Linked DNA regions of Notamacropus eugenii. The protein of the gene in region 4 binds, or shares a complex with, the protein of the main gene of each other region. Links are inferred from orthologs where the notes say so. Each region holds a gene or a part of one and is shown on either strand. Other genes may lie near its edges. The genes, in order: PIGP, PIGA, PIGC and PIGH.

Region 1 (7,325 bases), on a different chromosome or scaffold from region 4:
ATCCCACTGTGGACAGCAACTAGTCAATGCTGTGCAACTGCTCAAATTGCAAACTTTCGATTGTAGACTAGAGATCTCCATAACCCCAGATTTCAAACACTGTCTATAAAGAGTTATGGTTCACTTTGCAGAACTGACATGTTTCTGAAAAGGTCTGCAATTTAGTTTTTGTAAATATTATCAGGTCCAGATGTGATTTCATCACTGTGTGGAACTCCCTGTTTAGAAATTAGCCATAATGCACTACCGCAAATCAGTAAATCAGCAGTAGTTGATCTCAGCAAGCTGCTGGGGTAATCTGAAGGCAGGTGACTTACCCGCTTCCTCAACTAATATGCATGAGAGGCAGGATCAATCCTCTAAGCAGTAATGCAAAATGTCTCATGGTAGGTTTTGTTTGTGTTCGTCCTTCGTTTTCAAAGAGCATGTCATCAGAGAAATGATGACATGACTTGTTTTGAGCGAGGGCTGCACAGAGCAACAATGACTATTGATCATCACTCTGAAGCCAGGAGGGTCCAGGAGAGAGAGAGAGACAGAGACAGAGACAGAGAGAGAGACAGAGAGAGAGAGAGAGAGAGAGAGAGACAGAGTCAGAGACAGAGAGAGAGACAGAGAGACAGAGACAGAGAGAGAGAGACACACACACACAGAGACAGAGACAGAGAGAGACACAGAGACAGAGACACAGAGAGAGGGAGAGAGAGGGAGAGAGAGACACAGAGTCAGAGACAGAGAGACAGAGAGAGAGAGACACACACACACAGAGACAGAGACACAGAGACAGAGATAGAGACAGAGAGAGAGAGACAGAGAGACAGAGACACAGAGACACAGTGAGACAGAGAGAGGGAGAGAGGGAGAGAGGGGAGAGAGGGAGGGAGAGAGGGAGAGAGAAAGAGAAAGGAAGGAAGAAAGGAAGGAAGGAAGGGAGGGAGGGAAGGAGGAAGAGAGGAAGGGAGGAAGGGAGGAAGGGAGGAGGAAGGAAGGAAGGGAGGGAGGGAGGAAGGAAGAGAGGAAGGAAGAGAGGAAGGGAGGAAGGGAGGAAGGGAGGGAGGGGAGGGGGGGAGGAAGGAGGGAGGGAGGAAGGAGGGAGGAGGAAGGAGGGAGGGAGGAAGGGACGGAGGAAGGGAGGGAGGGAGGGAGGGAGGAGGGAGAGAGGGAGGGAGGAGGGAGAGAGGGAGGGAGGAGGAGGGAGGGAGGGAGGAGGAGGAGGGAGGGAGGGAGGAGGGAGGGAGGGAGGGAGGAGGAGGGAGGAGGGAGGAGGAGGAGGGAGGGAGGGAGGAGGGAGGGAGGGAGGGAGGAGGAGGGAGGGAGGGAGGAAGGGAGGGGGGAGGGACGGGAGGAAGGGAGGGAGGGAGGGAGGGAGGAGGGAGAGAGGGAGGGAGGAGGGAGAGAGAGGGAGGGAGGAGGAGGGAGGGAGGGAGGAGGAGGAGGGAGGGAGGGAGGAGGGAGAGAGGGAGGAGGAGGAGGGAGGGAGGGAGGAGGAGGAGGGAGGGAGGAGGAGGAGGGAGGGAGGAGGAGGAGGGAGGGAGGAGGGAGGGAGGAGGAGGGAGGGAGGAGGAAGGGAGGGGGAGGGAGGGAGGGAGGGAGGAGGGAGGAAGGAGGAAGGAGGGAGGAAGGAGGGAGGGAGGAAGGGAGAAGGAGGGAGGGAGGGAGGGAGGAGGAGGGAGGGAGGGAGGGAGGGAGGAGGAGGGAGGGAGGGAGGAGGGAGGGAGGGAGGGAGGAGGAGGGAGGGAGGAGGAGGGAGGAGGAGGAGGGAGGGAGGGAGGAGGAGGGAGGGAGGGAGGAGGGAGGGAGGGAGGGAGGAGGAGGGAGGGAGGGAGGAGGGAGGGAGGGAGGGAGGAGGAGGGAGGGAGGGAGGAGGAGGGAGGGAGGGAGGAGGAGGGAGGGAGGGAGGAGGAGGAGGGAGGGAGGGAGGAAGGGGCCTGTTCACCCCACGTTGGCTGGGCATCCTCCGGCCATCCACGTTGGCCTTCCTGTGAGTGCCTCAGCTAGGTGCGGCGGGTATGCGCAGGGAAGGGGAATGCCCTAAATGAGACGTTCCCAAGCCCACTCCACACAAGGGGCCCGGAGGTCAGGGGCTGCGGCTCACGCAGGTAGCACCGCACGGCACAATCTCCACGTCCCTCTCCGTGCCCCACAGACCCTAAGGTGACACCAAGGTGCAGCAGGCTGGACCCTACCCCGGGGTGTCACCAGCTCGCGGTATCACCCCGAGGAGCCTCCCGGCCGGTCTGGACCCGGCGCTCCGTCGGAACCGTACTTACTGAACCCGCACTGGGAGCTCAGGAACAGGACGAAGCCGTAGATGGCCCTCTCCGGCAGCGGGGACGGGGAATTCTCCACCATAGCCTCCGGAGCGTTGGGGAACCTGAGGGCGGGAAGCACCAGACAGCGGGTCACTCGCCACTGACCCCGTGCAGAGCGTGGGTGCGCCCTCGGCCCTTCCCCTCCCCCGGACCGCCTCGGCTCGCCCCGCTCGTCCTCCCGTCGCAGACCACGTACGGCGGGGATCTCGGGCGAGGCTCCGCGGCTGGAGCCGGGCTCCCCCGGGGTTGCGCCTCTTTGGGGCACCTGCAGGGACACGGGGGCCCAGGGCACGTTTCATTTTCTCCCGGGGACCCTGCCTTTCCTTCCAGGGTTGGGGCTGGGGGGGTTCGGGGGCGCCGCCGCGGAGGGGGAGAGGCGAGATCACAGCAGGGGGCCCCTTTTCTCTGCACTGTGACGCACCAGTTTTCCTGCCTGCCGGCTTCGGAAGCTCTAGGCCAAACCTGTGTGCGCAGGTGCCACCCAGGAGGCCGGGGAGGAGAGGGAGGGGGGCTTTTCTGCTCCGGGCGCCGGGATTCTGGGGCGGGGCGGATTGCGGCAGAGGGGGCGGGGAGGAAGGGGGGAGAAGGAAGAGCGGGCGCTGGGGCGGGGCCAGGCGCGCCTGCGCGCTGCTCACGTGACGGCCGGCCTCCTTCCTCCGTCCGCGGCTCTCCCTCCCCGCTCTGGAGGTCAGTGACGTGGTCCTGACGGTTGCCTCCGGACTGAGACCTGCTTCTGGACGTGGACGCGGATTAAAGCTCGCTCGTGGCGTGTCCGGTGAGTGTGTGTCCGTGTGTCTGTGTGTCCGTGTGTCCGTGTAAGGATGCGTGTACATCTGCGCGTCTCTCGCCTCTGCCAGCCCGTGGCCTTCCCGCAGCCAGTGTTGTCTGACTTGCGTGTCTGCACACACCCTTCGTGCGTGGATAGGTGCCCTGCGTGTGTGTGTCCGGCATGTCTTTGTGTGTGGCACGCGCGTTCTTTCTACCTGCTCTTTCCGTCGTCGTGCCCGTCATCCGCGCCCCCCATCGGAGGCTGCCAGCGCCGTGTTCCCCAGCCACTTGTTATTGTGTGCCCCGGCCGGTCGTCTGCTGACAGGAAATAAGCCTGCGGCCAGCCCGGCTGCCATTTCCACCCCGGCCCCGCTCGCCTCCCTCCCTTCCCCGTCCACCTCCGCTCCCCCCAGGTGAATACTGAGAGACCCGGCAGGGCCTTTCCCGGCGCGTCCGGGCCCCTCTCGGGAGCCCCCCGGGGCCGGCCGCGGGATGGGAGGGCTGGGCTCCGCGGCTCCCGCTCCTGCAGCCCGGCTCCGGCCCGCCTGGGCCCCGGCCCTCGGGTCTGTGACTGCGTCCTGGGTGTCCGTCACCTGGGCTCCTCCCGGGCCCCTCCTGCCCCTCCAGAGAGCCGTTGCCACCACCGTGTCCTAGGAAGGAAAAGGGATTAAGGCGCCGAGCTGACCCCCTTCCACACCTGTGGACGTGCCCGGAGGAGTTGTTTGGTGGGCAGGACTGCCCCGGGTAGTTCCTGGTCCTGATCGAGCTCCTGTCGTGTTCTGCGTCAGAGCGAGCTTCTTTACGTTTTCGCTTTATCCTACAACCAAGTGGTTTTCCATTACATTTGTGTGGTTGACCTGTATGGATCCCTTCTTTCCGTCTTTGACTTTATCGGGGGGGGGGGGGGGGGGGGGGGGGGCGGGGGGCGGTGCCCGGTGTGAAGTGTCTGGATTCCAGGGTGTGAACTTTTTTTATCACTTTCTTCAGATACTTTCAATAGCTTTCTAGAATAGTACCCGTTCACAGCTCCACCAACAACGCATTTTGGTGTTTCTGCAGTCCCTCCAGCATGGACTGTCCTTTGTCATCTTTGCCAGTTTGATAAGAATTAGGATGAAGGTTATTTTGATCTGCATTTCTCTTAGTCTGGTGCTCTTTGGATCTTAACTGGAGTGTATATGGAAAATCTGGTTTCCTTTACAATTTCTCATATTTTCGTTTCACTGGAAGCCCAGAGCTGAGATTTGAGCATGGATCTTCTGCCTCCAGAGCCAGTGTTTTTTTTTCACTGAAACTCCCCTCCACCCACTTCAGGAACTGTAAAAATGAGTGGCTGTTTCTATTGTTGTTTTGATTGTGACAAAGATAAGATTCACTTTCATAATTTGTATTGTTTACTGATTTGGAGTTTGTTTTTATTGGCCTTTAGGATCATGCGCAATGGAGAATTCCATCTCTGAGGCAGATTTAATTGGCAGCAGTTATGTTCGCATTACTAAACTTTGCTGTGAACAGGTGAGTTTTTTTAAAAAATCAAATGCATTTTAAAGTTCATATTCAAAGCCAATGTGTAAGTCATTCAGAGTGATTTGTGATGCCATCTGTGCTTTTGAAGAGAAAGCTGAAAAAGGGAAGGAGCTGCCCAAAAAGAACAAGTGTGTGAGATGATGGAAACTAAAAAGGGAGGAGGATGATGGTGATAATAATAGGTAGGATTTATATAGTCCTTTACACTGAACCTATATTGTTTCGTTTGGTCCTCACAACAACCTTTGCAGGTAGGTGCTGTTATTATTGCCATTTTATAGTGCCATTTTATAGATAAGGAAATCAGGGCTGAGAAAAGTTTAACATGTCCAGGGTCACAAGGCTATTAAATGCCTATGGTGAGATTGGAATCCAAGTCTTCTTGGTTCTAATTTCTACATTTTGTCTACTTCACCTCATTATTGGTGAGGGTGTATGTTGAGGGTAGAAATTAAAAGTAGCTTTATGTAGAAGAGAAGTTTGGTTCATATGGCAAATCATTATAAGAAATCACATTTTTCCTTTTATCAGCCAGTTATTAAAATCATTGATCCTCTCTGATGAGAACAGATGAAATGATCAAAATAAGAAATTCCCAATAGGAGAAAAGAGTGAGAGGAAGAAAGGACAAGTGACATGTTCTACTTCCTAGCTTGTTTTTCCTGATCCTCCCCAGCTGTGGTGGGGCCCATCCCATATATACTTTGTTGCAATCTCCCTTGATAGAATTGTAAGTTATTTGATGGTATGGACTACTTCATTTTTATCTTTGTATTTTTTACCCTTGTATCTAAGCCCTGAGATAAATTACTGTGTGTTTGATTGGTACTTGACTTTTTTGATAGCTATATTCAAGCAATGATTCCAGCGATCTCTTATTGTGGACTTGCATTCTGTTGCTGCAGGATTTACAGAACTATTGCAGGAGCATAAGAACTTCCAGAGGTTCTTATTTAACACTTTTCAGTGTGGAATTTGGATCTCTGAAGGCTTACTTCACTACTTATAGGATCTATAATTTTTTTTCTCTTTGTGGTTGATACTTCATTCTCTGATTCATATTGCAGCTTTTTGATTTCTCTTGGACAATCTCTGAAAGGTGATTTTTTAGCTAAAAACCTGGTTTTAAGCTCTCCAAACTTAAGCTAAATGTCAGACTGCAGATGTCTTTTATTTGGTGGGAAGGTAGAGTCTGTGATGTGTTAGCCTTATATGTGTTAGCATGTGAAAGCCCTGCGCCACTTCTATAAGAGTTCAGTAGAGGAGCAGTGAATATAAAAGAGATCTTTGTTAAAAAAAAAATTAATAATGGATTCCAGCTAAGATGGATGCTTGACCTTGTCTAATAAAAGCCTAAAATTTACATCAGACCCCCAAATAATCAAATCCAATGAGAAACTAGAGTGATTTCTTTCATCCCAGAACTGCACAAAAATTCAGCCAGAAGCCCAAGGGCAATAGGAATAAAGGATACTAACAAAGCCAAAAAACTCATCCACAAGTTAGTAGCTTCCCAGAATAACCAGACCCGGGCCACAGTCACATGTAGTCCGCTTGACTCTTGGTCTGGAAGCAGGGAAAGCAGTGAGGTCACCCAAGAAAGTCCCCAGGTGGGCTCCAAGATTCATAACATTCTGTTCTGAGGAGCAGTAGAGGGCCTTGAAGATCCAGTGTCTGAACATCAAAGATCTGGGACAAAGAGGGACAGTCCCAGTCTTGGAAAATAGATATTTAACACTAACTCAGGAACAAGGATAAAACCAAGGAAGGTCAATGAGCCTACCCAAGAGTACAGCGGGGGGAGAACCCTGGTCCTAGCACAAAGCTAGAGTGATAACCCAAAGAAGCTAATGTAAAATTAATATTAAAAAAGTTCCTGTTCTAGAGATGCCCCCAAATCAGACTTAGAACCACAAATGACTTAGCTGGCATAACTCAGCATAATTCTATAGAGGAAAAAAATGAAGCTTCAGTGGACTAGATCAGAGTTGACAAACTTTTTCTATAAAGGACCAGATAGTAAATATTTTTGACTTTGTGGGCCAATAGCCAAATTGAGAGTATTCTGTAGATATTTATATAATGAGAAAACAAATTTACAAACAGTTTTAATGGATGAAATTCAAAATATAATAACATGTACAGTTAGTTTATTTTGTAATACAGATCAACTAGTGAGAAGAGTGAAATTCTTTTCTAGGGGAGATGATATTTCACATAATTGGAATTCAAAGCTATTACTCCCTGTCATCAGAATCAGTTGCAGATGTTTATTTGTTATTGCTGATCTGTAATGGTATTTTATGTATTTCATCTTTGAAAATGGCTTTTCACACAGATAGGTACTGCCAAATACTGATATCAGCCTATGAATATATACTGTTTAACATATTTGGCTCTTGGAAGACATTTATGTAATCCTGTTAGATTCTTGATAGTTGCCTTTTAGCAAGTCATTACGTTGCATATTAATCACTTCCAATTGAAGGTTGGTAAAAGTTCTTCATTTGCACATTTAAATGAACATATTGAAATTTCTTTTGTATTTGTATCAAGTTCCAATGATGGAACTGTAGTTTGAGCTCAGGAAATACATTCACTGCAAATTTGTATTAGAATGGAAATCTTGTCTCTTAATTTTAAACAGTGTGGAAAGTATATGAAGTAACTTAACATTACTTGTGATTTAAAAATATTGTTATTAAATTGACTTGATTA
Region 2 (7,780 bases), on a different chromosome or scaffold from region 4:
TGGATAAACTGCCTGACCTGGAGTCAGGAAAACTCATCTTCCTGAGTTGAAATCTAGCCTCAGATAGTTCTTAGTTGCGTGACCCTGGACAAGTCACCTAACTCTGTTTGCCTCAGTTCCGCATTTGTAAAATGAACTGGAGAAGGAAATGGCAAACTACTCCAATATCTTAGTTAATACCTTTGCCAAGACTTAAATAGGGTCACCAAAAGTTGGGTACAAGTGAACAATTCCAGGTCCATTAATATAAATAATAATTTTTAAATGTATTTTATCTATATTTTTCCTTATCTCTCTATACTTTTTAAAAAATATATTTTAAATTTATCATCTGTTTTAGCATTCATTCTTTCTAAATGTGGGGTTCTAAATCTTCACCCTCCCTCTCACTCTTATATGACATCAATGTGAAATCACACAAAACATATTTCCATATGAGCCATATTTCAAACAAGAAAAATAAAGGGAGAAAATTATACTTTAATTTGCACTCAGAGTTCATCAGTTCTCTCTCTGTAGGTGGATAACATTTTTTCATCAAGTCTTTTGGAATTATCTTGGATCACTGTTACCATTCTAGCCATGTCTTTCAGAGCTGACTACCATTACAGCGCTGGTCTTACAATACACTATGATATGCCAATTCTTCTCATTTCACTTTCCATCATTTCATACAGTTCTTGCCATGTTTTTCTGAAACTACCAACGTCCTCCACCTCATCATTTCCCACAGCACAACAGTACTCCAACACAATCATATGCTACAACTTGTTTAGTCATTCCCCAACTCATGAGAATCCCTTTGATTTCCAATGCTTTACCACAAACAGAACTGCTATAAATATTTCTGGACATGTAGTTACTTTCCATTTTTCTTTGATCTCTTTTGGATACAGAACTTCTAATGGTATTGTTGGGTCAAAGGATATGCAGTTTTATAACTCTGAACATAGTTCCAAATTGTTTTCCAGAATAGTCTGCTCAGCGCACTAGTTCACCAATAGTTCATTACGGTATCTATTTTCCCTCATCCCCTCCAGCATTTATTACTTCTAAAAGATGTGAGGTGGTACCTCTATATATTAAACTTTAAAAGACATCCATTCCTTTCTAGAAAGGCTTCCACTCAGGCACACTAACTTGCCTCTGCATGATTGTAATCTTGGTAGTGCATTAATTAAACAAAAAAGGAGTCTAAATTATGTGATGGTTAGAGGCCCAGGGCCCATGGATGCAGTATGGAAAGCCAACCATACACATAATCATTTCATTTAATCAATGCCTCATGCTCCTTTTTACTCCTAGGTTGATTTAGTTATTTTTTCTTCTTTTGTTCATTAAAAGGGCCAAGAGCCATCCCCTGACTACTTCTTAAACAAACCTATTCACTCAATGGGCATTACCTCCCTCTAAGTGAGTACCTGAAAAGGCCTGCCTAATTAGGTCAAGGTCTCCTAATTGCATCCTGGGCCATCTCCAGTCTTCCTGAGGAGTATCTGTTCACGGGATCCAAGACAGCCCAGGAGAGGAAGTGAGGCTGGTGACCTGCACAGCCCTCCCTCACTGAAAACAAAGTCGAGTGCAAGTCATGTCATCATTTCTCTGATGGCATGGTCTTCTTCAAAAACGAAGGATGAACACAATAACTTTCAACAATTCCAACTATATTTTCAAACCTTATTTCTAAATGTTCTGGCCCATTCATCTGACCATTCTTCTATATAACGTGGAAAGATTTAAAGTTTAGAAAGTTAGGGCCTGCTCGTCCTCCTGTAGTTCCCACTTTTCAAAGCTACACCAGTCCCTGTTTCAGATAACAGGGATATCACGTCTACGTAACACTCGAGGGTTTGCAAAGCACTTTCCACCCAGATTTCTAAGGCGGATGGTGAATCAGCACCGTGACGTTCTTAAGTTAGACGGCTTGCTCAGGGTACCCTAGGTCCTGAGCGTGTGAGGGAGGATTCCCTAACTCCAAACGTTCTGATACAAACGCCTCCCCACAGTCCTCCTCGCCCCATCCCCAGAAAATAAAAAAAAGAACACATCTGCGAGGAATTCTGAGCTATTTTGTAAGGAGCTCCACGCCGTCTAACAAATCTCAGCGCAGGACCATCGTGACCTTCAATCTTTAACTTCCTGAGCAGCAGACGACCCAGCAGAAGCGCTGGGCAGGCACGGGCAGGGGGGGCGCGGAGGCCCCGAGGAGAAGTTACTTCCACCGAGCACCGCCGTCGGGGGGACAGTGGGGGCAAGAAAAGTGTACAGGAACCGTGAGTCTTCTCAAAGGCTCAGGAATCTCTACCAGGGGGCCCTGACTCCACGCTTCCCTTTAAAAAGGCCCCAATGGAGCTCAGAAGGACTGCCACGAAGCCCCATGGGGGGCCCACCTCCTCCCGGGGCTCGGGACCCTCCCGACTCCCACTTCCGGGCCGCCCTGGGGTCCGGACTGGATTGGCCCCCGGAGCCGCCCTCTCTCCCACCTCCCAATGCCCGATTCGGGGGCAAAGGCGAAGCTCGGCCTGAAGCTGCCAAGCACCTCAAGGCAGAGGGGTAGGAGGGAGAGGAAGGCGGCCGACAGACACTTACTCCACGAATGCCACAGCAGAGAGACGTCCAGCCCTCCCACGGCCACCGCCATGGCTCCGCCCACCCCCCGGGAAGGCGGGCAGCCGAGGCTTCCGAGACTCCGCCCCGCTAAAAACCAATCGTCACGCGGCCTTTGGGTCACGCGACTCCCGGGACGCGGCAGCCGAACCCTTTCTCCACCCCCTCGGAGGGCACCACGTGTCCCGGGGAAGGGTAAAGGGCAGGGTGATGACGTCATGGCGTGCTTTCGCCACCGCGGCTGCTGCTTTCTTGTAACTACCACAGCTACAAGAGGCGAATTAATCCTTCTCAAACCAAGGCCGCGTTATCCGTGTCTTGGAAATCTCTTGAGTGTCCTGGAGACTGTCCCTGATTTCTCCTAACACTTTTTCTGGAACTCCTCCTGCCGAGAGCAAGACTACAATCCCAGAGTGCTATGCAAGTACGCTTTGTGTTTTCTGGGAACTGTAGTTCAGCACTCGCTTGGCTCTGCAGCTGCTAGTTTAGACCTGTAAAAAACTACCAGTCCCAGTGTGCCTCGCGCTCCAAGTTCCTCCCTTCAGGGCGTAACCCGGCGTTGGCTCTAAGGCAGCTTCCCTGGAGCGTTGCCTAGTTACAGTTTTTTGTTTCTTGTTCAGTCCTAAACGTCAGCCCAGTTTAGGGCGAGCTTGAGAAGTGTCGATCAATAGAGGCTTATGGTAGATTAATAAACCCAGAGTGCCTTCGAGATCACAAAATCGGTCCACATCCATTTCTTTTTTTTTTTTTCAGTATGCTTTTTTTATTATTATTATTTTTTATTTTTATTTATTTATTTATTTTTTTATTAAATTTATTTATTTAACTTTTAACATTCATTTTCACAAAATTTTGGGTTACAAATTTTCTCCCCTTTTATCCCCTCCCCCCCCAAACACCAAGCATTCTAATTGCCCCTATCACCAATCTGCTCTCTCCTCTATCCTCCCTCTCTGCCCTTGTCTCCGTCTTCTCTTTTGTCCTGTAGGGCCGGATAGCTTTCTATACCCCTTTACCTGTATTTCTTATTTCCTAGTGGTAAGAACATTACAGTTGATCCTAACACTTTGAGTTCCAACTTCTTTACCTCCCTCCCTCTCCACCCCTTCCCTTTGGAAGGCAAGCAATTCAATATAGGCCAAATCTGTGTAGTTTTGCAAATGACTTCCATAATGGTTGTGTTGTATAGGACTAACTATATTTCCCTCCATCCTATCCTGCCCCCCATTACTTCTATTCTCTTTTAATCCTGTCCCTCCCCATGAGTGTCGACCTCGAATTGCACTCTCCTCCCCATGCCCTCCCTTCTATCATCCCCCCCACCCTGCTTATCCCCTTATCTCCCACTTTCCTGTATTGTGAGATAGGTTTTCCTACCAAAATGAGTGTGCATTTTATTCTTTCCTTTAGTGGAGTGTGATGAGAGTAAACTTCATGTTTTTCTCTTACCTCCCCTCTTTATCCCTCCACTAATAGGTCTTTTGCTTGCCTCTTTTATGAGAGATAATTTGCCCCATTCAATTTCTCCCTTTCTCCTCCCAATATATTTCTCTCTCACTTCTTGATTTCATTTTTTTTTAAGATATGATCCCATCCTCTTCAAATCACTCTGTGCACTCTGTCTCTATGTATGTGTGCGTGTGTGCATGTGTGTGTATGTACTCCCACCCAGTACCCAGATACTGAAATGTTTCAAGAGTTACAAATATTGTCTTTCCATGTAGGAATGTAAACAGTTCAGCTTTAGTAAGTCCCTTATGACTTCTCTTTGCTGTTCACCTTTTCATGGTTCTCTTCATTCTTGTGTTTGAAGGTCAAATTTTCTTTTCAGCTCTGGTCTTTTCACCAAGAAAATTTGAAAATCCTCTATTTCATTGAAAGACCAATTTTTCCCCTGCAGTATTATACTCAGTTTTGCTGGGTAGGTCACATCCATTTCTAAATAAATTATGCAATAATGACGTCCCATTCATTCACCAAGACGACCCTTCAGTTCCTAGAGGACCATTCAGGGCTGGGAACTTAGAACCAGACTCTTCCTAAAAGAGTAGCAAGGTGAGGATGGACCCCTAGTAACACCAGACTGGAATATCTCTATCTGCATTTCGCGTTAGTGGTGATCTCCACAACGCCTTCATTAGAGCGAAGGCTGCATGGGGACTCAGGTGCCCCTGTCCCGTCTGTCTCCCCCTCCCCTCCCTTCTCCTCTCCAAAGGAAGGTACGTTTGGGTGGCCAGAGGATGCCCAGGGAACTTGGGCTAACTGGCTCGATCCTTCCCTTCCCTTCCCCCTCCCCTTAAACCTGCTCTGAAGCCCACAGATTGTAACACACGAGACCACTGCCCCAGCTCCACTTAAGGGCTGTTTTCTAGACCCTCCTGACTTAAGACTGGTATCAGTGGGAACTGTTGCTGTTTTCCTCCCAGCCTGAGGTAGTTATTTTTTCTTTGCCTTATTAAAGGGGCCATCCCCTGACTACAGGCCTGTTCACTGACTGGGTGTTACCTCACCCTTGACTGCATTCTCGGCCATCTCCAGCCGTCCTGATGAATATCTGGTCACTGGACCCAGATGGCTCAGGAGGAGAAAGTGAGGCTGGTGACCTTGCAGAGCCCTCCTTTACTCAAAAGGAAGTCAAGTGCAAGTCATGTCATCGTTTCTCCAATGGTATGGTCTTCTTGCACAACAAAGGATGAATGCAGAGTAATTGATGCCACCATGGGATGAGCTGGAATGAGAAACCAATCTTCAGCAACATCCTTGGAACAGCTCCTTTCAGGGTCTCTTTAGTTACCATAAAGGTTGCCTCAGTATACAAAACCACTTGGAATATTTATGGAGTAGTAATGGGTGACTGCTTTCCTACACCAAAAAGTCTGAAAGACAATTTTTCTCCCTAAATAATTTTTATTTTTTTTACATGAGAAATTTTACTTGGCAAACACCAAGTAAAAGCAGCATTTCTGTATACAAAGTAGGGCAGTAAAAGAGGATTGCGTTTAAATTTCTGTTATACACAGCTTGCTTTTGTTATTGCTGTTGATTATAGTCTTGTTTTCCCCCTAAGGACTGCATGCCAGAAGTTTTGGGTTATTATCTCATTATTGTTACTTTTTTTGATGTCATTATCAATTGTTTCTCTGATTTGTTCTTTGAGCCCCCCTTCCCTCAAGTTTTTGTTGATTATAATTTTTATTTCATCTTAGACAGTAAAGGTCTGATAATTCAGCTTTTCTGCATTTGTTTATGAAGCTTCTGTTAAGGGGTCCCCTGAACTTGGCTTTTTGAGTTGCCATTTTTTCGAGTCACTACATCTGGAGCGCAGGAAGACCTGAATGTGTCAAGGAGGAAACCCTACCCTCGTGACATAATTTGTTGTTTGCACCCAAACTGGATTCCCTGTGTGTCCTTGGGAAGCAAGACAGTATGTATCACCCTGGGAAAAATGCTTGTGCACCTGAGGTCCTTTGCAGAGATAAGCAGACCCTCCTGTCTTCATAGTCAAGCAGTTCCCAAGGGAAAAGAATTGGACTTTCACCATTTCCTTGGTCCTGCCCTTTTTACTGTACCTTTCCCCTCCCTTACCATGCCCCTTCCTGTTTTCTCTTCCCCTTTGTTGTACTCTCATAAATATGCAAAATTCTGCAAGGACTATGACCTCTTTGGGTTTCACATGCATGTTCATTTCTCCTGCAATAACCCTAGTTTTCACATAAGTCTTCTGATGTTGTGATTGCCTATTGACATTTCTGTGCCCTAATGTGGGCTGGCACAGTGGATAGAGTGCCCAACTTAGAGTCAGGAAGATTCAGCTTTCTAAGTTCAAAACTGGCCTCAGACATTTACTAGCTTTGTGGCCCTGTGCAAATCACATAACCCTATTTGCCTCAATTCTTCATCTATAAACCAAGAAGGAAATGGCAAATCATTCCATTATCTTTTCCAAGAAAACTCCAAATGGGATCATAAAGAGTCAGACATGATTGAAACAAGTGAAAAACAAGTGGTCTAATATATGCAATGTTTTTGTAAAGGTGCTAAGCTCGGTTGAGAAAGATGTAAATTTCTTTTTAATCCCATTAAGTAATTGTTAGACATCTATCATACTTTACTGTTATAAAATTCTATCAGGTTCTAACGTTTTTGGAAGTTATCTTTTTTTTTAGATCTTTTTTCTTTTTGGTTTAGGTCTGAAAGTGGGTCATTGAGATCTCCAACTATTATAATTTTACTGTCTTTTTCTCCCTATAATTTATTAACTTTCTATTTTCACTTTAGTCTCTGGTTCTAAAAATTCTGTGCAGTTCTTATTGATTACTTCTTGGTATCCAAGCTTTTTGGGGGGTGCAGGAGTGGGAATCAGCACAGTTATGGAAAGCCATGACTTTTAGGAAATTTGATGATTCTTAAATTATCTTTACTTGACCAGTTTTGAGATCAGCTGTTTTGATCTTATTACATTTCATACATTCTCTACTATCTTTTCAATTATTTATTTTGTTCCAGTACTTCTTAATTTCTCATAGTCATTAATTTCAACTTGGTTCATTTAAATTTCATGAAGTCTGTTACTTGGTGGGTGGGAAAAGTGTTCTGCAGGGCCTCCTCCACATATTTTTCCTTAAAAAATATTGGAATCATCTTTAAGGTTTAGTTTAGGGACAAAAGTCCTGGACTTGGTATAACTTCCTGGTGAGCTAAGTACAAAAATCAGCAGGAACTGGACCCCAAAGAGAGGCAAGAAAACTACATGCAACTGAGTCAGTGATCTATATTGGCTGCCCTGCTTTTAATATCCTCCTTCTGCTATAACTAATTAAACCTCCTTTTGTTAATTGTCAGAATTCTACAAAGCTTTCATTTTGTTCCAGTCTTCATCTCAAGTGTCCTAACCAGCATAAGTGAAGCCTGGCCTATTATGCTTGGGTTGGGTTTACCACTTACTGTTCTAAGTCACATATTCTCTTGATATGCCTTTCCTCCAAAGATCTTATTTCATTTATAATTTCATCTTTTAACTCTTCCTTCATTTCTTCTAGGAACCCTTGTAGACCTTGTGGATGAGCAGTTTTTTTCTCTAAGTCTCTACTTCTACTCGTGGAGTTTGTTTCTTCTTCTATATTAGACTTTTGGGTATTTCTGGGACAACAATACTTTTGTATTATGGTTAATG
Region 3 (7,411 bases), on a different chromosome or scaffold from region 4:
TAATATGAATGTATATGTAGAGCCTATATCAGATTGCATGCCATTTGGTGTGGGATGAAGGAAGGTTATAATTCCTCTGTACTCTACACATTTGGGATATTGAGTTTTGTTTGGTACAATGTAGGCAGCTAAGGGCTACAGTGGAAAAAGAGACTGCATTTGGAGTCAGAAATACACTTGAATTCAAATCTGGCTTCAGACACTTGTACTAGTTTGTGTGACCCTGCGTGAGTCACTTGACCTCTATCAGTCTTAGTTTCCTCATATGCAATTTGTGATAATATAGCACCTACCTCATAGGATTCTTGTGAGGATCAAAAGAGATAATAAATGAAAAGTGCTTTGCAAACCTTAAAGCCCTTTATCAATGTAACGATTATTACGTTTTAAGAGGAGCATTGATAAGCTAGAGCATGTTCAGGCAATGATAAACTGGTAGGGTAAATGAGGGCCTTATAAAAGCATGTTAAATAAAGAATTGAAAGAACTGGGGTGCTTAAACTGTAAGAAGAGAAAGATTGGAAAAGAGGTGAGTGGGATAGGATAGTTATCCTCAGATATTTGAAGGGCTATCATGTGGAGTTATTAGATTGATTCTATGTGGGTCCAGAGGGAGGAATTAGAATTAGTGAATGGCAATTACAAAGAGGCAGATTTTCACTTGATAGAAAGGAAGGGCTTTCTAACAGTAAAAGCTACCTGACAATGGAATGTTTTGGCTTCCTACCTCAGTATGGAGTGAGTTCCCTGTCTCTGGAGGTGATCAATCAGAGGCTAGACAATCATTTACTAGTGCTATTTTAGAAGGGATTAATGAATCTCCCTGGGGGTTTATGATGTGAAGTTCTTTTTCAACTCTAGAATTCTATGTTTCCAGGATTCTGATACCAACGATAGTGTCACAACACCACAAAGTGCCATGACATGATTGGGAAAGAGTTCCTTAAGGGAAGAACAGTTTCCCAACACCTTAGTGGCTTCCAAATATTTCAAGGGACATTGTGAAATTCTATTTAAATCTTCCAATCAAAAAGATGTTTTTTTTTAATTCAACAAAGAAGTTTAAGTGCTTGGAAACTTGGAGGTGGAGTGGAAAGAAAGAGAGAGATAGAAAGAGAAGGAAGGAGAGGGAGAGAGAGAGAGGGAGAGCGAGAGGTAGAGGGAGAGGGAGAGGGAGAGGGAGAGGGAGAGATATTTTCATAAAATCAAACATGTCAAAATCTAATAAATTTGGAAATCATGGTTCAAGACTGTAATGAAAAGCTTGCAGTTAACTAACCAGGAAGAAGGAGGACATCCTGAAATATTTCAGGGACAGGAATTTGCTTCTGGAGACACAATGGTAAAGAGAGTGGTAAAGAGAGGGGAAGGCCGGTGGGTTTCAGCTTCCCCAATTTATCCTCTTACAGAGATCTGTCACCACTCCTACCATTTGTCTGAAAATACTGGCCAATCAGTTTGTATTCCCAGGTCAAAGAACCAGCCAGCCACATCTTAGCTTCACTCCCTCAGCATGTGCTTACAGAATCAGGTGCCAATGATTCTAGGTGAACCTGCAGATTTAGATACCTAGTGCTTTTAAGCTGGACAAAACAAACATTTCTAGCACAGAATAGCAAATGGGAATTTAGAACCCAGATCAAGAAATTCTGACCCAGTGACAAAATTCCAGATTCTCCATAACTCTCACTGGTCTATGGCAATGTTTCCCAAGCCAATTTGGCCACGAAGACATTTGAGTTTTGAAATACATCACAGAATCCATAAATGCTGGCCCAGGCTATGGTATAAATTGAGGAACAAGGTATGTCAAAGAATTTGGGGAGCAAAACAGAGGAATTTAAACCTATTCCCATGCTGAAAAATATAATAAACAATGAAATAAATAATTTTGATATATATATACACTTTCACATTTAACATTTAATATGAAAAAATTTTACCTTATAGCATTCATTTTATATATTTCAATTTGTAATGATATATTTTAAATATTTCATATTTAATATTTTAGAAATAAGGGTTCTCACTGAAACATTATTTATGACCTACAGAATATTAGAGTCCTCCCAGAAAATTTGGGAATCACTAATCTACTAGATATTTCTCTCCTCCAAGATGTTTTTGCCACTGTGCTAAATAACAGTTGAAAATGCTGGCTCGGTCATCTCCTGATTACTACAGCCTTGGAAGCTTCCTTAGGTGACCTTGAAACTTCAGTTCTTTAGTGGCTGAGTTTGTTACCTTTTTCGAAGAGTGATGAGCAAGGGTTTGTTTCCCACCAAGTAGGGAAAGGTATTTCTTGTGTCATACTTTATGATGGGGATTTTGAAAGGAACCTGGAGAGGAAGAAGGAAACCTAGTAAATTTTCACAACTCATTACATTAAATCATAATAGATCCCATTCCTGTCTTATTTTGAAGCTTACAAAGTGATTTCCTCCCAATAACTCTGTAAGGTAGTATTTTACAGATAAGAAACCGAGATTAGGAGAGATTAAGAGTATGTCCAGGGTTAACCTGCTTCCTAAAGAGGGGCCAGGAATGGATCTCAGGTCTTTCTGAATTCCAAGCCTATTGCTGCATGTCACTGGTCCTTCTCTTCCCATTAAACCAACAACCACTGGTACTCTATTGCCTCTAGAATCCAATCCAAACCCTCAGTTTGGTGCTCAAAGTCCTTCTAACCACTGACTCCCCACCACTTTTCTTACACCTAACTCCTTGCTGGTGTTTTTCAAGTCAGTGACACTGGCCTTCTGGCTGTTTCATGAGTAAGATACTCCACTTCTTGGTTCCTGGCATTTTCTCCGGCTGTCCTCCATGTTCCATGCCTGGAACACTCCCTCTCCTCTGCTCTCTCTCTTGGCTCCCCTGGCATCCTTAAAGTCCCAACTAAAAATCTCATCTTCTATAGGAAGACCCTCCCAATGCCTCTGAAGTCTAGTGCCTTCCCTTTGTTAATTATTTCTTTTGCATCCTGTATACACCTGTTTGTACATATTTGTACAAAAACACATTTTGTTGTCTTTCCCATTAGATTATGATCACTTCAAAGGCAGGGAGAGTCTTTTGCCTCTTTTCCTATGCGTAGGGCTTGGCACAGCGCCTGGCACATAGTAAGTACTGATTGACTGACCAACTAACTCGCCAGTTGTGTTAGACTAAAGTCCTAACCCTCGTCAAGATAACTTATTGTAGCCACCAAAAAAAGTGGGCTGGTTTGGGGGAGAAGACCTGGGTCTGAACCTTGGCTTTGCCATTTACTACAAGTAAATCATTTACCATCCCTGGCTTCAGCTTCCTTCCCAGTAAAATGAGAAAGTTAGACTAGATGACACCAAGGACTCTCTCTCAGCAGTTTCCAGCCCTCTGCCACCATGAAAAGAACTGCTACAAATGTTTTTATATAGACAAGAAATATAGATACATTGTTTCTCGAATCTGTTTGGGTGAGGTCAGAAAGCACGCAGTCTGGCAGCTGTGGGGCAGACGCGTTCACGTCCTCTGTTCTCCCAGTCTCTACAGCGTCTGTCCTCTCCTTTTCTAGGGTCAGCTCTGACAGTCTGAGGGTTTAATGCGCATTTTTGTATTAGTGACGGGGTGTTTGTTCATATGGCTGTTGACAGCTTCGATTTCTTCCCCCGAAAACTGCCTAGTTGTCTACACTGCGACCGTGAAGTGGGGGCACCGCATGCCGTAGAGATGGGCACGACCTTGGAGAGCTCCGCAAGCCTTGAACCCATCCATCCCCGCAGAACCCCTGCTGCCCACACACTCACAAGCGCTCTCTCTTTCCGTGGGAAACGCGCCTGTTTTATGGTCCCCACAGGAGGCAGTGTGCTACCGTGGCCCTGGGTTCGAGTCCTGTTTCCGTGACTTACTACTTAGTATGACGTTGGGCCAGGGGATCTTAAACCGGGGGGGGGGCCTTGATTTCCCCCCATTACTTAACAAGAGTATTTAAACGATTCTCTGGTTAAGGACCCCACAGGCTTCGGCCGACCGTCCGGGGGGTCCCAGGCAAACTCCTCCTCCTCCTCCCCTCCGATTCCGGGGTTCGAGCCTCGGTAAAAGCCCCAGGTGCACAGGAAGCCCTCGGCGGCCCCTCGCAGCGCCGCGGTCTGTCCTCATTGAAAGTGAGTGTCTACGCAGTGCGGGTGTAGACAGGGTGTAGACAGCGAATACGTGGTGTCCACACCGCCTAACTGTGTGGCAAAGATGTCTGGGCACTTTTCAGGTCACACTTAGCGACTCCACCAAAGCTTAAAGCTCCGCCGAGCCTCTCGGGGCAGGCCGGGGAGACGCGGGGTGCGGCACCCACGGAGCGTGCGCGCGATCTCCCCCGTCAGAACGCGAGGTCCTCGAGGGCACAGTTAGGCCTGCCCTTCCCTCGCTCCGCCACCAGGGGGCGAAGAGGGCGCATCCCTGAGGCCGCCGCGCCAAAGGAGGCCCCGGCCGCGGTTGCGCAGTCGGCGCGAGGGCCGTCCCAGGAAGGAGTTGGGAGGACGTGGCTTTGACCGTGACCGAGGGGAGGAGCCTCCGCCGGGCCCTACAGGTAGCGGGGTGGGGTCGGCGTCTCCGTGCCCCCCATCACTGCTGGCCCCGAGGGTGGGGGTTGGGCGGCAGGGGGGGCGAGGGTCGTCTACCTGGGGTGAGGACGTCAAATGATGGTTGGGGCCGGGGACCCCAGACTTCCGCCTCCAGGCCATTGGTCCTCTCTGCTTATTTTACGGTGTCGGGAAAACTGAGGCCCGGGGGAGCGAGTCCAGTCACCCCCAGAGTCCGCCCGCCTGACGTCTTAAAGGGCCCATGCTCTTTGGAGACTCCGCTCTAACCCTCCCTTCTGCGGAGACCTCCCTCCCTCCCACTTTTCCCCCCCTTCTCGTGACGTTCCATTGACCCCCGGTTCGATTCGTTTGGGATCTCCCGAGTTCGGGCGCTTGAGGCCCTTGGGAGCGCGGGATCGGGTGGGGGTGGGGCCCTGTCCCTTCAGTTCTCCCTCTTGGGTGTAGCCCTGGACTACTCTGCCCTGCGCCACACCGCCCCCTAGAGGCCCCCTCGTAGCGGCCCCCTGGCCCTGCTGTGCCCTGCGCCACACCGCCCCCTAGAGGCCCCCTCGTAGCGGCCCCCTGGCCCTGCTGTGCCCTGCGCCACACCGCCCCCTAGAGGCCCCCTCGTAGCGGCCCCCTGGCCCTGCTGTGCCCTGCGCCACACCGCCCCCTAGAGGCCCCCTCGTAGCGGCCCCCTGGCCCTGCTGTGCCCTGCGCCACACCGCCCCCTAGAGGCCCCCTCGTAGCGGCCCCCTGGCCCTGCTGTGCCCTGCGCCACACCGCCCCCTAGAGGCCCCCTCGTAGCGGCCCCCTGGCCCTGCTGTGCCCTGCGCCACACCGCCCCCTAGAGGCCCCCTCGTAGCGGCCCCCTGGCCCTGCTGTGCCCTGCGCCACACCGCCCCCTAGAGGCTCGGACCCCGCCGCCCAAGAACCCCCGGACACGAGCCCTTTGGGGCTTTCGGAGGGCGAGGCGCTGAGCGATTGATGCATCTGTCTCCTTTCACAGAGGAGGACACGAGGCTCTCCGAAGTTAGTGGCTGGTTTACAGTGTGTGAGAGCCGGGCGTGTAAGGAGCAGGTAGGTGGGAGGCTGTTCGGGAGAGACCTCAGACAGCTTGGTAGGCACATCTTTCATGAGAATAAGGTGTGGGCGCCTTGCCTTGGATTACTGCATTTTAGACATGCTCGATAAGTCATTCCAAGGCCGTTTGAAATTCATCTCAGGTTTTTAAAAGAGTCCTCTGCTTTCAGTAGGTTATGCTGAGCATCCTGTTAATGCTTGCTGGGGGCATTTGGCCCTAGAGTCGGAAAGACTCATCTTCCTAAGTTCAGATCTGGCCTCAGACACTAGCTGTGTGACCCTGGGCGAGTCATTTCCCCCTGTTTGCCTCAGTTTCCTCATCTGTAAAATGAGCTGGAGAAGGAAATGGCAAACCACTGAAATATCTTTGCCAAGAAAACCCAAATGGGGTCATGAAGAGTCAGACGCCTGAACACTTCCATTATGTTTAAGCTTATTTGTGTTGGCTCCTGCTCTTGTTACTACCCTAGGATTTGGGGATTGTAGATTTAGAACTGGAGGGTATCTTAGAAGTAGGGATATACTGGTTAGTGTTTAACAACTGACTTTCCAAAAAAAAAAGTATGCATGGCACACTTTTAAGCTTAATCTGCATTGTTAACCGTATCTCCATCACTTTCTAATGTCTAATCAGACTACAAAACAAATTAAGTTCTAACTTGTAGTATTTCTCCATTTCCAAGGTCGTGCTGAGAGTTTAACAACCAGCTCTCCTAGGCCAGAGTGAGCTGGCTCTAGCACATCCATGCTTTCTTTGAAGTCCTGCATTTGGCATTTTATATATGATGAAACTGATCCACATTCACATATATAATAAGAGACAGGTCTGGATTCAAACCCAGGCCCTCTGACTCTCAAGTCTAAGGTTTTGGTTTTTTGCCCTAGTTGCCTCCCTACTGAACTATTCAAGTTGGAGTAGTACATATTCCCGGGGTGAGAGCAGGTTTTAATGACATTTACCCTCCTAGGTTAGGGAGCAGAACCTACCAGAACTCTGAGCACCTCATTTGAGGTCAAGTGAGAAATTCATGGAGTCCTAGGTTCTTAGAGATGGAATGGACCTTGAAGGTCACTCATCCTCATGCCCATGTTATATAGAAGAAACTGAATGGTTAATAGATACTGAATAATAACCTGAATGGTTATATACCTAATTGTAGGCAGAGATAAGGCCAGAACCCAGATATCCTTATTTTTAGACCTACCTGACTGCCCTAATTAGAGTGATTCTATCATTGTAGTATGTGGCAGTGGACCTGAATGTGGAACACTGGGTGATGATGCCCCCTTCTCTGCCACACTCTGGGAGTTCTGAGCCCTTGCTACAACATGAAGAAGTTTGCCTCGGGGTCTCCAGTTTGCTGCCACTGATGATGTCAAAGATATTCCCCCGGCATATTCCCCCAGCATCTGAGCAATAAGCTATTTTAAGGTGTCATTCCTGTTTGGATATAGAGCCCCAGGAAAGTTTCAGATCCTTAGTTTCTCTATCTGTTAAATGGGACTAACAGTACCTTCACAGGAATATTGCAGATATGAAAGGGTCATAACTATTTTTAAAAAGAAAAGAAAGAATCTCTGACTCAGTTGACAGATGAATATTCTTTGGCCCTGTCCTGAGCAAAATGTCTTATCTTTATATGGCTTATAACCCTACTAGATTATAATATCTTACCAAAGTTTGGTTGCTTTCCTAGCACCTAACACATGGTAGGTGAGGAATTAATATTAGTTAAAAGGAAAAGGATCTAAGGAAAGCCGATAGTGATAATTTATTT
Region 4 (7,998 bases):
GAGTTTTTCCACTAGTAGGCAGTTTTGCTTATGACAGAATCAGAATTTCAGAGCCAGAAAGGTACTTGGTAGATGTCTAGTCCAACCAGTACTTAAAAAACAGTTCCCGTTATAGCAGTATTTTCTTTATGTCAGAAATCATTTTCCTCTGGAGATGAATGGAGGAAGAAGCAGAAATTTTCTTTTTAAAAGAATTGTCCCTTTTATTATTATGAACGTCACAAACATCAATAAACATGAACATTTGCCTCTATAGAGAATAGAAAAAAACTGTATAAAAACATGAATCCCCATGAAACACAGCTTATTTTTTGTAATATTTCACTTAAAAATATGGCTTCTACATAGTTCTAACACTGCCCTACTTGTCTGTGCCCTCTTCTGAACATCTTTCTGCTCTTATTTTTTTAATGATTCATTGCTCTTTTCTTTCTTCATTTTAATATCACTCTGTCCACATTGCTCCATTCCTGCCCCTACCTAAAATGTTCCTTTATAACTAGTCACACAAAACAAATCCACACTTTGGCCATGCCTGAAAATGTCCCATGCATCATTTCTAAGTCCATCACCTCCTTCCCAAGAGTGGGTAGTATACTTCATCATTAGCCTAACAGAGTCCTAACTGATCAGAGTTAAGTGTCTATCAGTCTTAAATCTTTCAAAGTTGTTTTTCTTTACAATGTTATAATTATAAAAATTATTCATCTGGTTCTGTTCAATTCACTCTGCATGTTTACATAATTCTTTTTTTTTTTGAAAATAAGTCTCTTTTGTCATTTCTAAAGAAGCAATATGTTCATACACCATAATTTTGTTAGCAATTCCCCAAGTTACTACAATCTCCTGTCCCCCTCCCCCCGGTTATTTTCAATTATGAAAAAATGCATTTTTTTTTTTTTTTAGGGCAGCTAGGTAGCACAGTGGATAGAGTGCCTGGTCTGAAGTTCAGAAGACTCATCTTCCTTAAGTTCAAATCTGGCCTCAGACACTCACTAGCTATGTGACCCTGAGCAAGTCACTTAGCTCAGTTTGTCTCACATCCTCATCTATAAAATGAGCTGGAGAAGGAAATGGCAAACTAAGCCAGTATCTTAACGGTTTAGAGATAGGCATTAACATTGCTTAACAGTTTACAGATAGGCATCAAGGATCCAGTTAGATAACTGAGGCTGTATTTCACAATATGCCAAATATTGGAAGTGCTTGTGGTATAGTGAAAACATCACTCCGGATTCTAGTCCCGGTTCTGCCACTTAAGTAGCTGTGTGACCTTGAACAAGTTGCTTTTTTTAGGGCCTCAGATTTCTCATCTGGAAATGAGAGGGTTGGTACAAATGGTGTTTCTAGTTCTAACATTGTAGGTATATGTTTGGTTTCTAATTAATATTCCTCCAGAATCTTATTTCCTGGTCATTTGTGTTTTAGAAGAGTCATCTCTTTTGAGATGACATTTATTTCTGTACCCTGAGTAAAAAAAAAAAACAACAACAAAAAAACACCCCTTTGAGACAACTGCTAACCAGTTTTTTTTGGTTCATAATTGTGAATTTAAAATACAGTCTTAATAAGCAATAATATATTTGTACATGTGATACATCTTCTTCGATCTGCTTAGGGATTTTAAGATTAGTAATGATATTATTAGTGGTTTAAAGTGTAAATTTTGGGGTACAGCTCCAATTCCAAACTGCCTTCCAAAATGGTTTTAACACTTCACAACTTTAGTGCATTAGTGTGCCTGTCCCTCCAACAATTGTTATTTGTCATTTTTGCCAATCTAATGAAGGTGTGGTAGAATCTCATTATTTTTTCTGAGGCTTTGCTTGTAGTTATTGTTGGGTTACTCTTTTGGGTTTACCTCTTGGGTTTCTCTCAACCCACAGTATTTCTTACAATGTGTTTTTGTTTTTTATCCTCAGTCCTTGGACTGTGATTTTTGTGCTTGGGTCAATCCCTTCTGACACTCTTAAATAGGTTAGGTACCATTCTCTCTTTTGAATGCTGCCACTGCTGCAGATGATGTGTCTGGTATACAGCACAATCTTTTGCCTCAATTCTTGACTTAGTCCATTGTAGATTCTGGTCTGGTCAGGTTCTACTTTGTCCTTCCGTGATCCCCAATCAATAGTTGGTTCTCTCCTGTCAGACTCTGACAGACTTGAGTGGGTTATTGAAGATCACGTTGGCATCAGGCTTCATGCACAGTCCTTTTGGCATTAGCGTTCAGGACCTGAATTGGCCCCATTTTTTGCTATGGCCCCCAATGCTTTAAGTAATATACAACTAGGTCCTGTGTCCTTGGGCAGTAGCTTAAGGACATTCTGTCCCTCTGCTACTATTCTACCCTGCCAGGGTAAGGATATAGCTTTAGGTTTACAATGTCTGGAGCTCTTGAGCTGGCTTGTAAGTCGCTGTTGAGAATTGTGGCAGGTTTCAAGTCCCTTTTTGGTTGCTTGTGAAGGCTTTCCTGGTGGAGCTCTTCTTAACACTTCTGAAGACTTCTACATTTACCTGAGCCCACTTTCTTTCCTGACTACCTCTATTGGCTTTTATTAGTTCTTGGCTATCTTTTTGTGACATTCTAGTCTAGGTGGAAAAATTCTGTTTCTTGTTTTATCATTGGTATTTCTGGGATCTTTAGGCTTTTTGTGGGATTCTCTACAACCTTTCCCACTCCTGTCTTTTAACTAGAAATGTCAAAAAATGAGGATTTTCAAACATATTTGGCCATAAAAATGACTGCTGGCTCCAGTAGCACTATTAAAATTTGGCTTTGTCATAAATGGCATAAAAATGCCATGTAAGTTTTTTGACATACTTGAGGCATATGTTCATTACATCAGGGTATGACTACAAAGGGGGCTCTAAAGCTCCCTTTGGGGATAATGAGACTAATATACTTCTGGGCACTGGTGGGGAGGAAGGATTTTTAAACAGGACCTGAACTTGGTCGCTACTAGTCTTCTTGTCTGGTACATCAGTCATTTTTCTCTTCCATGGAGAGGTAGGAATTTTCTTAGAGATGAGTTATGAAAACACTTGCTATCTCCTGAATTGTTATGTCTTTCCGTAAATGATCTAGTTCTCTGGTGTACCTGAGCCATTTTTCTCTTAGCAGAGGAGGGCTATGAAGGGACCTTCTGGCATAAGGAGACTGGTTTGCAGGTTTCTTTGATGATTATCAGCAGTATTAGGTAAAGGAATCTTTGGGAGCCAATGCTGTTTCCAGCGGAAAATCGCTGTCATCATGGAGATTTCAGTCTAGCTGAAGACTTGGTGGCTAAGGTATGAAATGGTGGCACCCCATGAACAGGACATGATCAGGCCTGGTCAAGCAGGAGAAACATCATTACCCTCATTGACACACTGCTTCCAGGTCTGAAGAAAGAAGAAAACTCAAGAGGCAAGAGGGTGTTTTTCTATGCTACTTCTCTACTTTTATCTTTAACCCTTAACACCTGCTTTAGAATGTTGCACACAGTAGGCCCCAATAAATTTTTGTTGTTGATTACTGTTAAACTCAACTGAGTAAGGAGTTGGATATGTCCTTCGATTATCAGTTACATTGACTTTTGCACTTGAAGAAATCTGTTTACTACAAAGATCTTCTGAAAAAATACCGATCTCTTGCTGCTCTATATAAGTTGCCCTCTTGTACCCTCCAGGAAGCTTTATAGTATAGTGTAGTTTAAGTTTTTAAAAGATCTCAGAATGTTCGCTGTTTAGATCTTGTTACCTCCTATCCTCTAGTTGGGGCCCAAGGAAGTGGCAAGTAGATGAATTTTAATAAGGAGCCAGATTTTATAAGAGAACCTGAGATGCTAGGATTTAACTGAGAAGAGGTTTTAAAGATTTTTTTTCAGCATCATTTATGCTTGAGAAGTAAACATTCACTCTTTTCAAAAAAAAGTACCTTCACTAATAAAACTGCATTTTAAATTCACAATTATGAACCAAAAAAACTGGTTAGCAGTTTTCTCAAAGGGGTGTTTTGTTTGTTTGTTTTTTATTCATGGTACAGAAATAGACACGTCATCTCAAAAGAGATGACTCTTGTAAAACACAAATGACCAGGAAATAAGATTCTGGAGGAATATTAATTAGAAACCAAACATATACCTACAATGTTAGAACTAGAAACACCATTTGTACCAACCCTCTCATTTCCAGATGAGAAATCTGAGGCCCTAAAAAAAGCAACTTGTTCAAGGTCACGGAGCTACTTAAGTGGCAGAACCAGGACTAGAATCCGGAGTGATGTTTCCACTATACCACAAGCACTTCCAATATTTGCATATTGTGAAATACAGCCTCAGTTATCTAACTGGATCCTTGATGCCTATCTGTAAACTGTCAGCTCTGCCAGACAGGCCCTCCGTCCAAGTTATTTGTTTGGTAGGCATACAGCCTTCAGGTCTACACTGATTTTGGATGGAAAACAAGAAATCCGAGGGCAGTTTGTGTTGGGCGCCTCATCTGCTGCGGGTGGCAGGCCAAGGTCAATATACTTGACCATTCTCCCCATCAGCGGTGGCTCTGCCAATCTGCGCATGGCAGCTCCACTCACCATTTCTACGGCTGGGCATCTACTACTGAAAAGACGCCTCCTGAGGAGCACGTTAAGAACGTGTCAGCCCCAGTGTCGACAGCGGTATTCCCAGGCCAAGCTCCTTCCTGAGTCCGGGCTTCCTCTCCCCCTTCTCCGGGGCTCCGCGCGTCGGCCTCCGGCTGCGGCCCCTCCACCTCAGGCTGGGGCGGCGGGAGCTTGCGCAAAGCCCGCACCCTCACATACCTCGTAGGCGGTGGGGCAGTTCTGAAGTCTGGCGGTTTCCGCAGACCGAGGCCGAGAGGCGGCCGCCTTCGCTTTGCCCCCGGGTAACCCAAGGAAACGGAAGTGGAGGCCTCTGAGGGCACGTCACACCCGCAAAAACCCTTAGCTACCTTCCCGGCATAAATTACTGCGAAGAATCGCGAGACAAGGGAGGAGGCGGGACCGAACGTCCCCTCCTCCCCCCGCGGCCTGTTTCCGGAAGTGCGTAATGGCGATGGGCGTGGCCCTGCCGCGGGCTTGTAGAGCGCTGGGCTGCGGGCCATGGAGGAGCAGCGCAGCTTCTCGGACATCGACGGCGGCCGCCTGGCTCTCCAGCGCCGCTACTACTCCCCCTCCTGCCGGGAGTTCTGCCTCGGCTGCCCGAGGCTCTCGCTGCGCTCGCTCACCGCCGCCACCTGCACAGTGTGGCTGGTAGCCTACGGGCTCTTCACTCTCTGCCAGGTACGGGCCCTGCCCTCCCCGCCGGCCGGGGCTGCCGGGCCTGCCGGGCCTGGGCTCCCGACCGCTTCCCTTTGCCTCGGCTTCCTCCTCTGTAAAATGAGGAGCAGGCAATAGTTGTGAAGGCTTAGCCCTATATAAACGTCAGTTGTTACCGTCATGATCTAGGCCGTGTCCCTCGTGACATCTGTATCTATATGCCATAAATGGGAGTTCATCCCAGAGGGAAGGGCCTGGGGAGGGTGGATGGGGGGGGCCTTTCTCGCCCCTTGCAGGGGATGGAACGCTGACGTTGGGAATAAGGAGGAAAACTCTAAGCTTGAAATAAGGTGTGTCACGGAGGTAACTGGGAACTTTACATCTGTTATCCTGTGAACTGCCCAAGTGTATTTCTGAAGCACAGGTCTGTATATTTAACAGCCCTCTCAGAAAGCTTTCCATTGCCTTCATTAAAAAAAAAAAAAAAACCCTTTTTATTACCTCTTTAATTGACCGTGTTACAAAGCTAGCTGACATTCCATTCTGTCACCAGCTTATAATTATAAAAAGACTTACACCTGCTTGAGCCTGTACTGCCCAGGGCATAATTAGCAGGTAATAATTATTGGCATCTCCTTCTCCCTTGTTTTGACAAGCTCCCTATGAAAGCAGTGTGCAACATTCTGGATGAAGGCGAATTCACTTCACCACATGTTGGAGGCAAAGGTGATTTTGTCTTTGACAAGCCTCCATCGTCCAGATGCTTTATCTTGTATGTTCTGACAAGTCATTGAGAAGTAGGAGCTATCATATGTCAGAAGCACATCGGAATATGCTGCTTCTAGGACATCAAGCTTAAAATCTTGGTTACTGATCTAGCATTTCTGGCCCTATCAAAGCCGTGGATAGATTGGGCTGCTCGGCTTTAGTGAAGACCTGTCCAAAGCAGTAGTAACAAATTTTGTACAAGAGGACTGGACAGCAGTGGGGAGCTTTCCCAGTCCCTTCCATTGCCTTTAAAACAAAATATAAACTTCCATTTGACATTTACAGCCCTTCACAATCTGGTTCCAGTCTCTTTCCAGATTTACATATTTACTCCACTTACTACCATCTAGCCAAACTGGGCTACTTGCTGTTTCTGAAATGAGATACTGCACCTCTAGTCCCCGTTGCTTTACACAAGCCGTCCTCTGTGCCTGGAACATTACTTTCTCAAGGCCTCCTCTCAGAGTTCCTTCCTCCCTTGAAAACTCAGATCAAGTGCCACTTCCTACATCAGACGTTGCCTGATTTCCAGCCACCTTCCTTCAAATTAGCTCATATTTGTTTGATCTACATTTTGTATTTCCTTATGTGATCCTGTGTTGTTTTCCTTCATAAAATCTAGGCAGACTCCTTGAGGACAAGGATTGTTTTGCTTTTTTCATTGTATTCCCAACATCTGGCATAGTGGATCTTACTAAATGCTTGTTGATTGATTCTGGTACAACATAGAATAAGTTTATACCCTTTTCTACTGGACCATCCTTTAAGTGTTTGGAGACAGCTATTATAATGCTTCTCATTTTTATTCTTCCTGAGGCCAAAGTAGCCTGTTCTATGATGTGTAGTTTTCTGACCTGCCTCCATGCTGGTCACCTCTTCTCCCCCAACTCTCCATGTCTTAGTTATCTACTATGTGTCTGACTTAGGCAGCTGCCTAGGACTGATTTATTTGCTGAGGCTCATAGAGAGGTTAACGACTTCTCCTGTGTCACACAGATAGGTATTAATTTCAAACCCAGCCCTTTGGCCTCATCTGTTAATATCTATATCTAACATGTAGTACTTTAAGGTTTGTGAGGCATTTTACATGTATTATCTTATTTGTCCCTCACAACAGCCTTGCAGGATAGGTGCTGTTATCCATTTTACAGATGGGGAAAGTGAGGCTGAGAGAAATTAAGTGACTTTTTGCCCAGTGTCACAGAGCTACTAACAACCAACCACAGGCAAGATTGGACCCCAGGTCTTCCTAATTCCAAGTCTAGCATTCTGTCTTCTTTGTCACCTTGTTTGCATGACTCAATAACTCCATTTGGTTCATGAAAATCAAACATAATACTCCAAATGTGACTGAATACCATTACTACCTGTGTAATGTTGGGCAATTTACTTAGGCTCATGAGGTTTCATTCAGTTTCTTCATCTGTAAAACTATGTGTTTAGATAATCTCCAAAGCTCCTTATACCTTTAAATCCCATGACTTACTTTCTGTAATATGAATATTATACTTTAATACAAGCTAAGGTTGTGTTACCTCTTTTAGCCATGCCTTATTTAAAAAACTTAAGCACTGTGGATGCAGAATTAGGCATTTTCTTAGACTGTGTTCCAAAAGCTCAGTAGAAAGTAAGTTTAAAGCCCATTGACTTTTTAAAAGAAATTGACATAATGTGTTATGTGGTGGTAAGATTCTCAGACTTACTACAAAAACTACTTAACCTATATTGTAATTCTACTTGCCTGAATTCTAAGTCCTGGGACCATATAGATAAATAGTTTTTCTTTTCTTTCCTGATCAGGACCAGCTCTAAACAACATTTTGAAACAGGCAAAATTATCTTTGTTTCCCTTCTACCTTCCCTTCTAAAACCCAATGTGCTTTTCTTTCCGACTCACCAGTGCTGCCTTAAGCTTCATTCATTGTAATCACTATGTGATAGGACAGTTCCTGCTTCTCAAAGAGCCCCATGCTCCCAAA

The links.
Region 1: PIGH (region 4) and PIGP share a complex: the UniProt entries of both Homo sapiens proteins name them as parts of the glycosylphosphatidylinositol-N-acetylglucosaminyltransferase (GPI-GnT) complex. The link is inferred for Notamacropus eugenii from reciprocal best matches to the Homo sapiens genes PIGH and PIGP.
Region 2: PIGH (region 4) and PIGA share a complex: the UniProt entries of both Homo sapiens proteins name them as parts of the glycosylphosphatidylinositol-N-acetylglucosaminyltransferase (GPI-GnT) complex. The link is inferred for Notamacropus eugenii from reciprocal best matches to the Homo sapiens genes PIGH and PIGA.
Region 3: PIGH (region 4) and PIGC share a complex: the UniProt entries of both Homo sapiens proteins name them as parts of the glycosylphosphatidylinositol-N-acetylglucosaminyltransferase (GPI-GnT) complex. The link is inferred for Notamacropus eugenii from reciprocal best matches to the Homo sapiens genes PIGH and PIGC.

Annotation. Positions count from the first base shown.
Region 1 is NC_092876.1:420,370,336-420,377,660, forward strand, and holds the start of PIGP (phosphatidylinositol N-acetylglucosaminyltransferase subunit P), read right to left. Parts: upstream 3,037-7,325; 5' UTR 2,948-3,036; intron 2,902-2,947; exon of another isoform or gene 2,734-2,901; intron 2,586-2,733; exon of another isoform or gene 2,375-2,585; 5' UTR 2,353-2,374; coding exon 2,271-2,352; intron 1-2,270. Other genes in the region: E3 ubiquitin-protein ligase TTC3, read left to right, coding at 4,521-4,595. UniProt on the Homo sapiens protein: Part of the glycosylphosphatidylinositol-N-acetylglucosaminyltransferase (GPI-GnT) complex that catalyzes the transfer of N-acetylglucosamine from UDP-N-acetylglucosamine to phosphatidylinositol and participates in the first step of GPI biosynthesis.
Region 2 is NC_092876.1:374,805,759-374,813,538, reverse strand, and holds the start of PIGA (phosphatidylinositol N-acetylglucosaminyltransferase subunit A), read right to left. Parts: upstream 3,018-7,780; 5' UTR 2,590-3,017; exon of another isoform or gene 1,422-2,589; intron 1-1,421. UniProt on the Homo sapiens protein: Catalytic subunit of the glycosylphosphatidylinositol-N-acetylglucosaminyltransferase (GPI-GnT) complex that catalyzes the transfer of N-acetylglucosamine from UDP-N-acetylglucosamine to phosphatidylinositol and participates in the first step of GPI biosynthesis.
Region 3 is NC_092873.1:473,945,529-473,952,939, forward strand, and holds the start of PIGC (phosphatidylinositol N-acetylglucosaminyltransferase subunit C), read left to right. Parts: upstream 1-4,377; 5' UTR 4,378-4,558; intron 4,559-4,649; coding exon of another isoform or gene 4,650-4,712; exon of another isoform or gene 4,713-5,069; intron 5,070-5,559; 5' UTR 5,560-5,630; intron 5,631-7,411. Other genes in the region: C2H1orf105 (uncharacterized protein C1orf105 homolog), read right to left, coding at 2,245-2,311. UniProt on the Homo sapiens protein: Part of the glycosylphosphatidylinositol-N-acetylglucosaminyltransferase (GPI-GnT) complex that catalyzes the transfer of N-acetylglucosamine from UDP-N-acetylglucosamine to phosphatidylinositol and participates in the first step of GPI biosynthesis.
Region 4 is NC_092872.1:312,546,757-312,554,754, forward strand, and holds the start of PIGH (phosphatidylinositol N-acetylglucosaminyltransferase subunit H), read left to right. Parts: upstream 1-4,965; 5' UTR 4,966-5,095; coding exon 5,096-5,275; intron 5,276-7,998. UniProt on the Homo sapiens protein: Part of the glycosylphosphatidylinositol-N-acetylglucosaminyltransferase (GPI-GnT) complex that catalyzes the transfer of N-acetylglucosamine from UDP-N-acetylglucosamine to phosphatidylinositol and participates in the first step of GPI biosynthesis.